Linked DNA regions of Daphnia pulex. The protein of the gene in region 3 purifies or fractionates together with the protein of the main gene of each other region. This does not show direct contact. Links are inferred from orthologs where the notes say so. Each region holds a gene or a part of one and is shown on either strand. Other genes may lie near its edges.

Region 1 (4,237 bases), on a different chromosome or scaffold from region 3:
CGGATATCAAGGTATAGACGAATCGACTGTATTTCGTGAGTTAAGCAAAAGTAGAGTGAGTGAATTCTCATGGAGTTGGAGGATCGTCAGGTCCGCCCTTTTCTTTTTCTCGTTCTTCGGCCCTTGAGCGCATTCTCGTGATGAACGCCTGACCTTTGCTTTTTCGGAAATTTTCAAAAGGATCACGTATATTGATACCGACACCTTTGAACTGGTCCAAACGATCGCGAACCTGAAGAACGAAAAATATCAATCCGCTATTCTGTTGACACAAAAATAGTACCGTTCGATCAATACCTCTCCTCCTTTGATGGGTTCCGCTATGCCTTGTTCATTTGCGCCGAGTCCAGCTCCTCCCCAACCCATTTTGCACAAGAGTTGATGCCCTCGGTTGTTTTCGTCCAGCTTTGTCGTGAAACCTTTGGCAAACGACACGGATGCACTGCAAAACGCCGAATCAAATTTAACCAAATCACATTGACCTAACTTAAGGAAAAAAAAGGGGTTGGTTACATTTCTGAAGGTGGCGTGGGGCTCCGCTTTTGCGCAAAACCGGTCATCGTGACGGGCGAATTAGATCTTGATTCCGAACGACTAGGTGTAGGAGAACGAGAGCGTGCAGCTCGACGGGGCGACTCTGAATTAGATCGACTTCGGCGACGTCTTGTTGAATTTCTAGGCGATCTGGATCGTGATCGAGCTTGCCTCGATTCTTCTCTATGCTCTTCCTCGGGCGACTCACTGCGGAATCTTCGACGCACGGGACTTCTGATTCCATTCTTACCACTTCTTTCAGGGGAATGATCCTCGACAACTTCGATAGGAGTTCGAGGCGGCGACATGTCGCGTAATCCCTGAGCAATATCTTCTTCTTTCTTCTTTTTCGCAGTTGCCTTGTTCTTATAAAACTCGAAAAGAGCCATCTGCTCCCACCTAAAAAAAAAAACAAGAAAGAGAAAAGTTGAGAAGAAGAAGCTTGAATGATAAGCCAACAAGAAAGGAAATCTATCACGAACCCATCTGCGTTTCGTGGTCGGTCGTGCGAGAGAGGACTGTAGAAGAAATCAATGGCGGCAATCAATCGCTCAGACGGTGGGAGCGGTGCAGGAAGGCGGATATCTTTCGGATCGATGCTTTTGTACTCGCTGTCTTCCATTCTCACCAGTGGGACGAGTAATCCCGCTGGTAAGTCGAAGTAGGGAGCCTTTGGTTCAATTCCTTCACACGGGTAGTTTTGCGGGGCATTAAGGGAAGCAACTGGCGGCGGGCGAGATAAGAAATCCGGCGGCATGGCGTGATGAGGTGCATTAAAAGACTGCAAAGCATTGGCCGCCGCGATTTGTTCTTCAATTTGCAGTTTCTGTTGCTCTAGCTGCTGAATCTGGTGGTTGGCATGATTGACGAAGGCTTGATGCTGGCCGCGGTAGTTTTCGTACGTATGCTGAATGTTGCTAGTTGAAGCTGCTACGGCTGCCGAGTATTTGGCCACTAGACTGTTGTGGTATTCATTCCAGATGTGTAAAGGTGCGTGTAACCTTTCCAGGACACCACGCTCAAACAAATTATTTTTCGTTTGCCACAAAACGACCAGTTTTTGCAATTTGGCGTTTTGCTCCTCGTCGGTTGCAGACAGACTAGTGTTTGAAAACATGTGGACGACAACTTGTTCGAGTGTCTTTAAAAGCGTGTCGGGTCCTTTGCGGAGACAATGGTGTAACACGTCGTTGACCAAATAGATCAAGTGAAGTTTGTGGGTAAATTGACCTGTTGATTCAGAAAGAAAAAAAAATGCTCAGGCAATGCCAAGTAGCCACAACAGAGGAAAACTTACTGCTTTGAGTTGTTTTGAAAAGGAGATATTGTGCTATGGCATCAGAGGATGAATGAGGCTGCATCACATGATGGAGAATCCAAGCTTTACCCTGAGATATGGATTCTTTGGTGCAAGAATCCATGATAGGCAGTAAAAGCAATTCTAACTCTGCCAAATTCATTCCACTTGCCAACGCTTTTTCCATGACTTCTTTTTCGTGTTGCAACTTGACTGTTTCCTCTGTCTGCTTTTTCTGCTGTTGCACTGTCACTTGATGTTGAGCGGCCAAGTTGCTTTCACTTTGTTTGATCTGGTGAACCAAACCAATTAGTATTTACTATTTTTGATATGATCTGGAGTATGTTTACCTGTTCCTGCAGTTGAGTTTGTTGGGCAACGAGTACATCTTTTGCACCTTTTAAAGCAATCAAATCTGTTTGAGGAGGGATGGGATTTTGTCCAGGAAATGACATCTGATTGGGCATTGATGGCTGTGGGTGAGCCCTAGGCCATGCAGAAGAAGGGCCATAGTTGTAATTCCTATTGAAACTGGGATGTTCTGTATTAGGCGGTGGGCCATAGTTGATTGGATAGCTCATGGGTTGACTTTGCTCTCGGACAAACTTTTGCTTGTTAATTGCTTGCTCTGTTGTCACACGGTACTGGTAGTAGTTGAAAAGTTCCCCACCAAACAGGAAACCAAACTTGGGGTTATCTCGTTGTTTGTTTTTCGTCATTTGCTCAAATTCGGGACCATTTCTCGCCACAAATTGAGCTAACTTGTCAATAATGTTGCGCAGTTCTATGTCTATAAAAATATTTGTTGTGAACAAATTGATGAGGAGATTTTTCAATTTAAACGGTTATTACCTTCGGGAGGACGAGGTAGATCCATTGCAGAGTTTTATGTTTTAAAACTTTAATTAAACTTTAGGCAATCAAAAACACACATACATATGCAACTGTGAATTGTTTCGATGCCGGCATTAATAGTTCGTGTTGAATTCCGCCAGAGTCTAGTAAACGGTGCGTTTTTGCTAAACTAGATGGCGTGAAGTTCGGTGCGAATAGTAAATTCCCTAACGTGTGACAAGAATTTCAATTGGGGAAAAATTTCTTGTTTGTATACATCGAATGCAGCTTTCCATATTTATGAGTATATGCTTCTTTGTAATTCAAACTCGTTTTCCACATAATTAAAGGTTGATATGATGTGTTGACGCGTTAAGTTCCAATCTCTTTCCTCGTCTCGCTGGGGGGGAGTCTGACTCTCTCTCTCGCGCTGCAGGTCGTGTCATCACACGCAAAGTAATCGGTCAACCAACAATTACAGCAGTAGCACACATGAATAGATACATCAACTCTCAAACGGACAGTTCGCTTTTTCTTCGCTATTTCAAAATGCGTTCTTGGCAGGGTCCCAATCGAACGATGTGTCGCAACAAAAGACACACCAAATATCATAACTCTTTGTCCCAGATGAACTACCTCTTTTTTAATATGACAGTGTTTCGGGGCAATGATGACCAGTGGAAGACCATTTTTTTCGCCTGTTCTTCTTCCTATTTCCGTTCTCGACCGTTCGGGTAACATAATAGCTTGAGTGGGCGGCTGCGAATGCCAATAATATACATCAGCAGTGTGTGTGTGTGTGTGTGTGTGTATGCGAGTGTGTGTGTATGGCGCCCAAAATAGTAGCACACTGCATCCAACTTGAGCCAAGTTTTAAAATATTTGGAAGCAACTGCGAAAAAAAGGGCGAACACCAGACCAGAAAGAAAATGAGAAGCGCGTCGTGTAGGAAAAAGAAAAATTCAAACTAAAAACAAACAAATTTGCCAGTTTTTCGTGGGCAAAGTTAGTCGGCGATCGGGTCGTGAGCAAATCGGCCGCATACAAAATCTTCTTCCTTGTTCTAATATTAAAATAATTGGAGGAAAAAAGTCGTTGGCGTTGGAAAGAATTCGACAGATTGTGTGTGAATCGAAATAAGTGTATTTGTTCAAGTGGAAATGAAATAACCCAAAATATTTTTGACTGATTGTGTAAAGTGCTCTTTCGTTTCAATTTGATCCAAATCATTCAAAACAACATTTTATTTCTTCCACTCGATTTTCAGAGATCCGGAGGGAGGTCCAGTAGCTCGTCGAATGGCGCCGAGATGGTTGGGTGTTGTGTTTGATTCATATGCCAAAACACGAGCCCTTTTTTGAAAAAAAGTTGACCTTCAATCAACTTCGTATTCCGACGTTGCGGAGTGAGAGGAATGAGATGCGAGTCTGGCAGACGATAGCTGAATCGTGAGACGAGGCATGCGTTGTGCCACATTGGCTGCCGGGAAGGCTCGGATTCCGCTCGGACGACCATGTCAGTCAAAGCGGAATTGAACGACGAGACTAAATTCATGGATCTAAGTGCCATCGG
Region 2 (2,541 bases), on a different chromosome or scaffold from region 3:
AGTAATAGTAGGGGGATTACTTGGATCTGTTTTAGCAGTTTCGTGGTTCTTATTTACGCAATTCGCTCTAACGCCGTGGTTCCCAACTGTTGCATCATGGTTAGTTTTCCTCAAAAGTGTTTCCATGCCGATAACATGCAATATTCATTGTTATTTCTTAGGAGAGTGTGTGAATGGCTATTGGTGAGAGATCAAACATTAATCCCTAACATTATCTGGTTTGAATATACATCTCACCGGAGCGAATCAAAGCACAGAAGTCGAAAATTGGTCTCCATGAAGTCCCAGTAAAACTGGCTTGAAAATAATTTTGTGTTCAGTAGCTGCAGTGCAATTGTTTGTCTGTTTACTGTGCCTACAAATCTGTTATTCTTGAAAGCCGGATATTTCGTGAATATTCTTTTTAGAAAAAACATTTTTGAGTTGTAATAACTCGTGCAAATCATATTTGATATTCCATTACAATGGAATACCTCACAATTACACTGGTTGGAAAAGGGTCAATACTGGTTACAATTCACATAGTGAAAATGGTTTTTTTATTATACCAAATTGTACAATGAGAAATGAGGTCAATTTACATGTTATTCATCATTCAATCCAAATTTAGCCTTCATGCTTTCTATCTCTTCTTTCTTCTTGTCTGTGTCAACCTTTTTGAAGGCCTTTGTAGGTTGATAATAGAGTACTACAAGGTAACGATTGCAGACATTAAAACCAGAAAGATGATCACAAGCATTTTTTGCATCAAAAATGTCTTCATAGACCACAAAAGCTGTTCCTCTGGTTTCTGGAGTGTTCCCTCTATCAAATCAAATGAGTTACAATTGATGCTAACATATATTATCAATTTCTACTTACACTCTGATTTGCCGAATAGCTCCGTATTTTCCAAAGATATCATACATTTCTTCTGATGTAATTTTATAGGGAAGATTTCGGACATATAGGATTCTGTTTACTTCAGGAGGTAACCTCACCTGAAAAATAAAAATATTTAAGAAATGCTCACATGGAAATCTTGATGCACAACAATCTTGACTCAATATAATAAACTACTAATGATAAAAAAAAATTAACACATGATTGCATACGTTTAGCTTTTTCTGCATTGCCATCGCCATTGTTAGGAGTAAAATTCAGTTAAAACAACGAAATCACTGATCAATACAATTCAAAACTGTGCTCGTGAACTTGACAATAAGAACGCCGCTTGGTATTCAAAATGGCTGCATAGCAGACGACGATTCTGAGCTGACAGAATAAACAAAACATTATTTTCGTGTAATTCAATTAATTGGTTTTATGCACTAGAAAATTTGATTCAAATTAAATACTAAAAAAATGTATATATATCTCATAAAAATCTTTTCCTAGCTCAATTTACTCTTCACATTTTAATATTTTGGCAATGCTGATGTTTTAGCAGACGAATTTGTGTCAAATGAGGAATAGCATACTCAAATAAGAGAAAAGGAAAGGGGAAAAGTTTCCACATCGTACGACCCGAATTCCTTTTTCTATTGGTTCGAATATCAAGATATGATGCAGATGGCCACTATTCGAGTCGCGTAAACTGAACTGATTCGCTACTTCCGATATCAATTAAATAAAGGGATTTTTAAGCTTCATCCGGTGCTGTGCATACAATAAAGAATTGCTGGGATATAACTAAAGAAAGCACATTGAAATTCTGCACATTAACAGATGTCTTCTGATCACGAAACACAATATGGTCGCACAATGGATAGTGTAGAAAACAGGGTAACAAATGGCCATGATTCAAGTTCCACAGTTGTTCATTCTCGTAAGTATTGTTATTTTTAATCAATTAGTTGTGATAATAAACAATTATTTTTATTCTACAGCTAGCATGCCCTGGTTTGGAATGGATATAGGTGGAACTTTAGTTAAATTAGTGTATTTTGAACCAACTGACATTGCTCCTGAGGAAGAGAATGTAAGTTCGTCAGAAATTGAAACCTTACACAACATTCAAAAGTATCTCACTAGTAACAATGCTTATGGAGAGACAGGGCACCGAGACATTCATCTGCAGGTGTTTACATCTTCTAATCTTTCCTATTTTATCAGAAATTGATTTCAGTATAATTTTCAAATTTCAGATGAGTTCAATTCCAATGGGAAACAGAGTAGGAACATTACATTTCATCAGATTTCCTACCTCTGAAATGGAGCAATTTCTGCAGCTAGCAAAATCTAAAGGATTTGCCTCTCTGTCCACAACCATTTGTGCCACAGGTGGAGGTGCATACAAGTTTGAAAAAGACTTTTTAAGGGTTTGTACACTTTATGCAGCTTTGATTTCTTTTTCTTTTTTCTTATCTTGTTATACGGTTGTCTGTAGGCTGTTAATTTAAATCTACATAAATCGGACGAACTGGAATCCCTTATCGGTGGGCTCTTGTACATTGAAGAAATTCATCGTCCCGAGGTTTATTATTGGGAAAATCCAACTGACGAAACTAAGTGCGTAAAAAAAACATATGACTTCAAGAACCCATATCCGTTTTTGGTAAT
Region 3 (4,299 bases):
AGCAGCCTTTTTGGCTTCCAGTGGACGCATAAAAACTTGTGGGACTGCATTCAGACGTTGCGGAAAAAATGGGAGGAGACAAAAAGAGAAAGAGACGGAAGTGGGGCCCCACATTTTTCAAGGAGACCAAAAAATGGGAAGCCCGCGCGTCCCGCCTTCATGTTTAGTTCTGTTCACCTATTAACAGGATACAATAGAACAGCCTATCGTTTCTACTATGATCTGTGCTCTCAAAGAAAGCACACCTTTTAAACCAGTTGATTAGCCGTTTTGCCATAACAAGTAAGAACTTTTAGATTAAACTACAAAGGCAAAACGTGGCAAATCACCCTAGCTATTTTTCAGATCCCACACAAAGACAACCAAATCAACCGAAATAGAAGTTAGGTGAAGCTTACCGGAAAGCATAGCCGTAATCGAAAGGATCTCATTGGAGCAGTTGAATTCCGTAGAAGCAATCAACATTTTGGCCAATTGAGGATCAAGGGGAAATTCAGCCATAATTGCTCCCAACTCGGTCATGTTACCATCGTCGTCTAAAGCACCGAGATAATTCAGCAACTCTAGAGCTCTCATCAAAGTCTCGGGAGCTGTAAAATAAAAAAAAAAATCAGCATGCGGTTTATTTATTTAAATGTTGATATGGTACCTGGAGGGTCCATGAAATCAAAATGAACAAGGTCGTCGATGCCTAATTTTTTAAGATTAATGACGACTGATCCCAAGTTGGAGCGAAGAATTTCAGGATATGTGTTGTCTTGCATCTCTTGTTTGTAGGCTTTTTCTGTGTAAAGACGAAAACATTTTCCTGGTCGCGTACGCCCGGCACGCCCAGCACGTTGCTGAGCTGATGCTTTGCTGATAGGAGAAACGAGTAAAGACTCGACGCGAATGCGAGGATTGTAAACCTGAAAACAGCAATTCCACAAATTTGAACCATGTAACTCACATTTGAAAATTCCTAAATGTTACCTTTTGTTTGGCAAAACCAGGGTCAATAACAAAAACAACACCATCAATAGTAAGCGAGGTCTCGGCGATGTTGGTACTAATAACCACTTTACGACCGATGGCTCCATTTGGTCTAACTGGGGGAGCAGCCTCAAAAATCCTCTGTTGCAAATTTGGTGGCAATGTGGAGTACAAAGGAATACACTTCATTTCTCCCACTTCAGGACCAAGGTTGTCGATTTCACGTTTCAACCTTTTGCAAGCTTCATCGATTTCCTATGTGTACATGAATAAGATAAACATGTTCAGAGAAATCTGAGAAATTCAATCAAATTTTACAAATATATAAAGCTAACCTCTTGACCAGTGAGGAAGAGAAGAACATCACCGACAATATCTTCACACATGTGAATTTGCATGACTGTGCGTATGGCTGCTTCAAGATAGTCACGCTCGGGTTCTGGGGTGTAAAAGATCTCCACAGGATGCGTCCGACCGGGCACGTTCATCAATGGTGCGTTATCAAAATAAGATTGAAACTTTCCCGCGTCAAGCGTGGCAGACATGATAATTAACTTTAGATCACGCCTTTGCTTAATGACTTCCTTTAAAACACCCATAAGAATGTCAGTAGCAAGTGTACGCTCGTGAGCTTCGTCCAATAAAACTAGCTGATACGAGTCTAACAGTGGATCTGACATGGCTTCACGCAACAACATACCGTCTGTCATGTACCTTTAAAAAATGAAATAGGGAATAGTTTTGATCGAATAAAACGTTTTACTCAAAAGAACATACTTGAGTACGGTTTTGGGGGAAGAACAGTCTTCGAAACGGATACTGTAACCCACTTCTTGACCAAGAACGACGTCCATTTCATCAGCTACACGTTGAGCCACAGACCTTACAAAAAAAAAACGGTTTTATATTAAGAGAAAATTAACTATTTGACTTAAAATATTACATAGCAGCAACTCGACGTGGTTGAGTACAAGCGACTCCTTTTTTAACTCCTAGTTTTCGCGCAAACTCAGCCGACCTGTCACAATAATAGCAAATTATCAACAAACTGCTCTACGATAAACTAAATATATTTCCTAACCATTGAGGAATTTGAGTAGTTTTTCCCGATCCAGTTTCTCCAACTAAAACTATTGCCTGGTTGTTTTCTAGAAGCTCAAAAAATTTCTCCCTGTATTCCCAAACTGGAAGGCCAATGCGCTTTCGATAAATGTCATAGTATCTAAAACAATATAAATGATCATTATCAACGAGTGTTTAAAAAAAAATAATATTTATGATGTACTTTTGTGTATAGGGCAATCCTGTAAGGGGATTTAATGTCAACCCTGGCTTTGATGGTGTTACTGGAATTGATGCAGATGAACCACCAGGTTTAGAATCAGTTACATTTCTGTAAAGTAATAAGACAAAGCATTATTTTAATCTTAAGACACTAATATGGGAATTTGTAAATCAAAAAGTGAAAATGAATTTAGAAAAATATTTATAACAATAGAAGCTTACTTTTCTTTATCTGCTTCACTCCCTTTGTCACCAGTTGCCCGGCTGTAAAGTAAAACAAATTAATTTTATTGCATAATAATTTAAAAAAAGAATGATGGTTTTTTGAAAAATCATTAACAATCTTATCGACCACGACATGTTTCACTACAGCATGCTCATGTGCATTACAAATGACACAATCGCGGGTTTATTTGTCTAATTTGAATAATTGCATTTTACTTACGATTTCTTGCTGAGCTTGTCATCAACTTCTATGCGTCTTTTCGACATAATAAGAGGTGAAAATATCTATTTTACGATATTTAAAAACGAACAGGACGTGGATACACGTTTTCCAACAGCACAGACAGGAACTTCGGCCACCAATTTCCACACTTGCAGACGCTACTTGTGAAATTCAAAGGAAGCACGCGTTTCATTTCAAATCGCTAGATGGCACATAGCCAATAAGCGGCGAACTGCGGAACTACTGGTTTATTGCCACAATTTAAGTTGACAATAACTCGTCTACAGATGCCGTATTTTTATGCGCGGCGCTGATCTATAAATGTATATGGCTTTGCTTCTAATTCGTTTCAGACCCTAGCTATATGGTATTTGCTAATTGAATAGTATAGTAATTATTTTACTGCTCGATCACAATTTCATGGTTGCCTCGTTTTGGTGGTTAGAAAGTTACAAGTTAGCCTAAATGAAAAAGTTGTTGATTTCTCAATTCGGAATATTTCCTCCGTTCAGTACCGTTATGTTTATATATTCCACGAGAATTCAGCATTGACGACGTCCTTATTATAAAAAACTTTGAATTCATTTCAAATAAATTAGTTTGAATATCCAATACGCATTGAAGGACTCAATTTGTCTTATTTCTATTAATCATGTGTTTGGTCTAATGAAATTAGGCCTAGGAAAAAATAGAAAATAAAAATCTATATGGGGAGAAGCTATTGTTTAAATGCATTGATGCTTCCCGGAATAATTCAATTTAAATTGTTCTTTATTAGTAGGGAAGTTGTAGAGAGAAAGTAGAACGCAGAGAACGGGCATGAAATCGTGAACTGAGCGGAACACATAGCAGTAAAGAAAAAAAGAAAGGCTAGGAAATTTGATGTCCTATTTCTTCTTTCTCGGTGCTCCCGACATTCACATCGCTACCTGCCGCCGAGGAATTAACAGGTCTTCCGTCCTACGTCCGTCCAGTTTACGTTTCCCTGTTACAATTCCCTTTGAAAATCCGTAAGACAATTTTTTGTTACCGTTAATTTTATCGCTATAGCTAAAAATCTGTAATATTACTTAACAAAATAATTGGAAATTTCGTGTGTGCTGTTAAATAACTTGATTTCAATGGCCGAAAAAGTGCCCGTACTTCGGGAGAAAATATTTCCAAAGAAACCCGATTTCCGTTACGCGCTCTCAGTATCTAGAGCATCGCATTTTGATTTAATATTTTCCTTCTAAAGAGACCAAAGACTACTTTTTTTATTTGCATTTCTGTTTATGATTTGCAAAAATTGCGATCGGACATTTTTTGAATTGGGAGCCTTCGCCCTCTATGTCGTCTGAACTTGTTGATGTTATTAACAGATATCTTATTGAATAAAACTAGAGGTGCTGCTTGATTAGATAAGAGAAAGCCAGCAAGCAGTTATCCAGTGAAGGTAAACTGTAAATTATCCAGTGAAGGTAAACTGTAAAATGAAAGATGCAACGAACTTTCGACCGAGCCCTTAACTAAATATGTGTCAATGAACTCGAGAAACTTCTTTGTATTAACTAGGGTATACAGAAAAATGGACAAAATCATGTAGAGATTATGAA
Region 4 (4,377 bases), on a different chromosome or scaffold from region 3:
GTGTATTTGACTTCTAGGTATCAGCACACAAGGACTGGTTACAGTGTAATACGATCATCAGAAATTAGACTTGCCCGTGGTGAGTATCTCCGTTTCCAAAAAAGTAACTAAAGGAACATTTGGGACCGGGTTCAGCACTATAAACGTTTTTCACGACAGTTAATTCGAATTGGTTGTTGCTCAGGTGTTTGCTGTACAGCCTCAAGGAAGGTACACTGCACCAGTAACGGCCGAGGAATGGCGTCGGCAAAGTTGCTCCTTGCGCTTCCGTTGTTCCTTCCCGTGACCACCTGGAGACGTGATTGACAACAAGAACGACACATTGATGCACCACAGCCAGTCGTTTCAAATCACTGGCCACTTTGTTCAGTAAACTGATGGCTGCAATAAAAACAAAACATAAAGTTGGATTAAGTCTCAAAGGTGTCCATGCCTTATATGTTTTCGGCACTCGAGGGTTTAATTAACTGATGATAAGTCATTTTTATGTACATACAGTCGTTAAATGCGTCCCCACGTATGGGTAAGAATAAAGTGGCTAGACTGTCAATGATGACAAGTTTGTATCTTTTCATTTCTGGAGTCCACAGCAGTTCCAACAGTTGATAGACATCATGTATGTGGCAGAATGTAATCCTTTCTAAACTCTTCACATAATCACCATCCTAAAGAAAGAAACCTCTGTCATTTGCCAAACTCAACAAAATAACCACAATTTGTGCTGCAAACTTTGTCTAAATTTTGCATGATATCTAGGATTCGCTTAGGATTTGCATCACCAGTAGTGATGTAACAGACTTCATACTGTAACTTTAGAGCAGTATTTGCTGTCAAGTGTAAGGCTAATTGAGTCTTTCCAGAACCAGAATCTCCATAAACTTCTACCAGTCTCCCACTTGGAATTCCTCCATGGAACATTCGATCAACACTATCTTATAGAACAAAATTTGGGGGAATTATTATGTATAGACAATTGCATACAATTATTTAGAAAACTTCTTACATCTCAATTCCACTATGAATAACAACTGTTCTCTTCAACATCATGTCATACAGTTTGTCTCCTCTCATGGGTTTGCTGTTGTTGGAAGCTAAGATTTTATCTTTGATTTTGATAATTTCACTGACATTTTGAACAATCAATTTAGCCATTTTGTCATTGTTGTACTGCACAAAATCAAGAGTAGTTAAAATTTTATGGGATTTCAGTAATTCTAGTTTTTCTTTTGTCAGTAAGGGACTGACACTTTCCGATAAAAGATTCATGAAATAAAAAAGAAAGCAAAACAAACAAAACGATCAAAAACAAATTTAAGTCTGCTCAAGTTTGAAAAATGGAGAATGTCAAAGGAGTTGCCAATAGTTTCAATTAACACTTTAGCTTTAACTGAAAAGCTGCTAAAAAGTCATTGAATTAGCGCAGATAAAGACCAGATTATTGCATATTTAATGTTTGAACTTAATTCAGGAATATTTCAAGCATATTATAAACAAGTAAACTAAAATAAAAATAATTTTTTTTTAATATTTGAATCTTTACTATTTCCACGATTAGGCAGCTCTGTAGCGCCCATTACCCAAGCTTAACCGGAACAGGGAGAGTCGGCATTTTCTATAGTCATCTCGTTCTGACGTTATTGTAACAAAACCATGGGAGACAATCGTAAGTTTCATTTTTTAATTGTTAAGTTGACATCTAAATTGATTCGACAATAAATTTAGCGAAATGATGATGTTATTGGCAGTCCGAAAACTGTTTGTTTAGAGTTACACGTACGTCAATTTATAACCCTGTCTTTACCATGTTGTGGCCCAAGCTTGTCTGGGAATCAATATCCCATCTATAAAAAGGACTCATAGTAATCTTATTTCATATTTACAGAATATGGATATTCTGGAGGAGGTGGTGGTGGTGGTGCCTATGGTGGCTACAGCAGTTACGATCAGGCTGCACCTGCCTATGGAGGTCCTCCTTCTGGTGCCCCTGTAAGCGGTGGATGGGGAAACCAAGGTCAAAGCGCAGCACCATACTCTGGGTATTCTGGCGGTGATGGCCCAGTTGGCGGCTACAGCACTCAACAAGGTGGTGCTGGTGGTGCACCATCCACTGCATATCCGTCAGGTTTGTTAACTTCTAACATTTCGTCATTTCTAACATTTTGATCAACACATACAATTTTACTACAGGAAGCAGCAGTGCTGGTTATAGTGCCTATGGCGAACAGACAGCTTATGGAGGCGGTGGTGGTGGTGGATCAAGTTATGACAATGCAGGATCATATGGTGGATCAGCAGCTTATGGCGGTAATCATACTTTGTCCTAGCCTATTTTATTTAGCAAATTTAACTTTATGTTATCATATCAGGTGGTGGTGGCGGCGGAGGTGGTTACGGCGGCGATAGAGGTGATCGAAGTGGAGGAGGGGGAGGATTCAGGTGAGTTTTGTTATTCAAATAGCTGTTAAGATAGTGTAGAAAAATTAAGTGTACAGTTTGATTAAAGGTTACAACCAGTAAAAGGGAAATTTCAAATTGCGTTCAAGAATACGAAAGTTTGGGTCCAATGGTATCTTTAAAACAATGTTTTGGTATTACGTAAAAACTTAGTATGCTCAAAGTCATTCGGGTTTAACAAACGGGTACTCACGGTTTTCACTTCGGTGGAGCAAAAAACAGTGTTGTGATTCAAGTAAAAAACATGAATATCTTAATGTGGTCGTTTCGGATTGATGGTAAAGAAATTTATCCATTTTTAAATACGCGGAGTTTGGTATGTGACCATCACATGTAACAGTTTACAACGGTTATACTGTGCCAAGTGCACCCAACATTGGTTATTTAAAAGAAAGTAGTAATTTTTTTCATATTGCATAATCTGAACATGGTGTTTTGGTAATTTGTTATTGTTTGATTTGTTTTACTTCATGTTTTTTTTTTAATTATTCTTATTTGTAGTAAATTTCGAATTTTTTGAATAGTATTATTTGCATAAGTTATATCATATTGTGTTCCATAATAATTTGAAAGCAAGATGGCAAATGCATCTTAGCCAATTTGGTGTCAAAGACAGGGTATAGCAAAATGTATCTTTCTGGCTATTGCAGTCATAACGCTGGAAGCAGAGACGGGTTTCCCAAAGGTAATTCAAAGGTTCATCTAACGATGCCTTTCTTACTGTGTCTACTTCTGGTACGGTTTGTCACAATCTTGCCGTTGTGGTGGTGAAAAATCTTCGACATCCAAATGGCATTCCTGTTGGTGCAAGTATCAAGCAAAATACTCTATCTCCATCTTTATTCTTATCAAATCTCCTTGTGCATATTTACGAATCTACGGTACAGAATTTCTGTACTCTTTGATAAAAGAGTTTCAGACTTTCTGCGTGTACAGTGATATACCTGGAGAATGTTACCTTTGTATGCTACGGTATTTCAGTCAATTGTCAGCCACTTTCCATGAATTTAAACCCCGAAAGAGGCCGAACGTGTGGTTCTAGTCTTTAAGTGGTGTGTTGGGTAAAAAAACTTATTTCCACCAGAAATTGGTGGTTTTTTCTTTAAAAAATTCCAAATGGTTGTGTGTAAAGAATCCCCAACAAAAATGGTGTGTGAGTGGTTTAAAGAAATGAGTCCAGAAAACCTATGGGTGTATCTGTAACGTGAACAGGTCAATTGAAACTGGTCCTGTAAAGGGTAAGAACAAAGGAAGTGAAAAAGTGGGGAGAGAAATCGGCTAAAGGTTAAATTTACTCATGGAAAGTTTGGTGAACGGTCCGACTATAGTATTTAGCACATCCTAACCCAACTGTGGGACTTGCTTCCTGCCGCCGTTTATTTCAATTGTGAGTACCTGCATTTAATCTTTAATGTATGTTTCGTTGACAAGGTGGAGCTGCACCAGGAGCCGTTGCTGATGACCGTATTGTTATGGACGACAGCGTGTTTGTTTCGGGTCTTCCTGAAAGTGTGACCGAGACCGAGATCGAAACCTTTTTTGGTTCGATTGGTGTTATAAAAGTATTTATTAAAACATCCAAATCAACATTTTTCATTTTGATAATTTTTATTCTTTTGTCTCGATAGATTGACAAGAAAACTGGCAAACCTAAAATCTGGTTGTTCAAAGATCGTGACACTGGCGCTCCCAAAGGAGAAGCAACAATCACCTACGACGATCCTAGCGCCGCTAATGCTGCAATCCAGTGGTTCCATGGTTCGTAACTTGTATTATTATGATGTGTTTTCTTTCTTAGCCATTTTTTAAATTTGTATTACAGGCCAGCCATTTAATAACGGACCAGTGCTGAAAGTCTCTATGGCTACGAGGAAAAACAACTTCCCTGGAGGCTTCCGTGGAGGTCGTGGCGGGGGTGGCGCA

What was found. Proteins that work in one complex are often made in the same cells at the same time.
Region 1: the proteins of putative pre-mRNA-splicing factor ATP-dependent RNA helicase PRP1 (region 3) and calcium homeostasis endoplasmic reticulum protein-like purify together in Homo sapiens (co-immunoprecipitation; 3 studies listed by BioGRID and IntAct, with this or other methods). This does not show direct contact. The link is inferred for Daphnia pulex from reciprocal best matches to the Homo sapiens genes DHX15 and CHERP.
Region 2: the proteins of putative pre-mRNA-splicing factor ATP-dependent RNA helicase PRP1 (region 3) and splicing factor 3B subunit 6-like fractionate together in Homo sapiens (co-fractionation; 3 studies listed by BioGRID and IntAct, with this or other methods). This does not show direct contact. The link is inferred for Daphnia pulex from reciprocal best matches to the Homo sapiens genes DHX15 and SF3B6.
Region 4: the proteins of putative pre-mRNA-splicing factor ATP-dependent RNA helicase PRP1 (region 3) and RNA-binding protein cabeza-like purify together in Homo sapiens (affinity purification with mass spectrometry; 4 studies listed by BioGRID and IntAct, with this or other methods). This does not show direct contact. The link is inferred for Daphnia pulex from reciprocal best matches to the Homo sapiens genes DHX15 and FUS.

The regions. Positions count from the first base shown.
Region 1 is NC_060023.1:8,902,387-8,906,623, reverse strand, and holds calcium homeostasis endoplasmic reticulum protein-like, read right to left. Parts: upstream 2,823-4,237; 5' UTR 2,709-2,822; coding exon 2,684-2,708; intron 2,622-2,683; coding exon 2,182-2,621; intron 2,124-2,181; coding exon 1,832-2,123; intron 1,765-1,831; coding exon 1,017-1,764; intron 934-1,016; coding exon 514-933; intron 443-513; coding exon 298-442; intron 233-297; coding exon 68-232; 3' UTR 13-67; downstream 1-12. Other genes in the region: uncharacterized protein LOC124197929, read left to right, coding at 4,179-4,237. UniProt on the Homo sapiens protein: Involved in calcium homeostasis, growth and proliferation.
Region 2 is NC_060019.1:12,853,504-12,856,044, forward strand, and holds splicing factor 3B subunit 6-like, read right to left. Parts: upstream 1,255-2,541; 5' UTR 1,125-1,254; coding exon 1,095-1,124; intron 981-1,094; coding exon 862-980; intron 805-861; coding exon 585-804; 3' UTR 523-584; downstream 1-522. Other genes in the region: dolichyldiphosphatase 1-like, read left to right, coding at 1-99, 162-291; pantothenate kinase 3-like, read left to right, coding at 1,708-1,807, 1,869-2,059, 2,127-2,300, 2,369-2,536.
Region 3 is NC_060017.1:1,846,448-1,850,746, forward strand, and holds the start of putative pre-mRNA-splicing factor ATP-dependent RNA helicase PRP1, read right to left. Parts: upstream 2,875-4,299; 5' UTR 2,749-2,874; coding exon 2,702-2,748; intron 2,521-2,701; coding exon 2,479-2,520; intron 2,366-2,478; coding exon 2,258-2,365; intron 2,195-2,257; coding exon 2,054-2,194; intron 1,991-2,053; coding exon 1,916-1,990; intron 1,855-1,915; coding exon 1,750-1,854; intron 1,687-1,749; coding exon 1,308-1,686; intron 1,228-1,307; coding exon 973-1,227; intron 909-972; coding exon 650-908; intron 591-649; coding exon 399-590; intron 45-398; coding exon 1-44. Other genes in the region: quinone oxidoreductase-like, read left to right, coding at 4,227-4,259.
Region 4 is NC_060020.1:5,621,278-5,625,654, forward strand, and holds the start of RNA-binding protein cabeza-like, read left to right. Parts: upstream 1-1,555; 5' UTR 1,556-1,650; coding exon 1,651-1,663; intron 1,664-1,882; coding exon 1,883-2,122; intron 2,123-2,187; coding exon 2,188-2,304; intron 2,305-2,366; coding exon 2,367-2,436; intron 2,437-3,104; coding exon 3,105-3,139; intron 3,140-3,885; coding exon 3,886-4,016; intron 4,017-4,082; coding exon 4,083-4,212; intron 4,213-4,276; coding exon 4,277-4,377. Other genes in the region: DNA repair protein RAD51 homolog 4-like, read right to left, coding at 65-381, 497-665, 730-928, 1,004-1,266. UniProt on the Homo sapiens protein: DNA/RNA-binding protein that plays a role in various cellular processes such as transcription regulation, RNA splicing, RNA transport, DNA repair and damage response. Binds to ssRNA containing the consensus sequence 5'-AGGUAA-3'.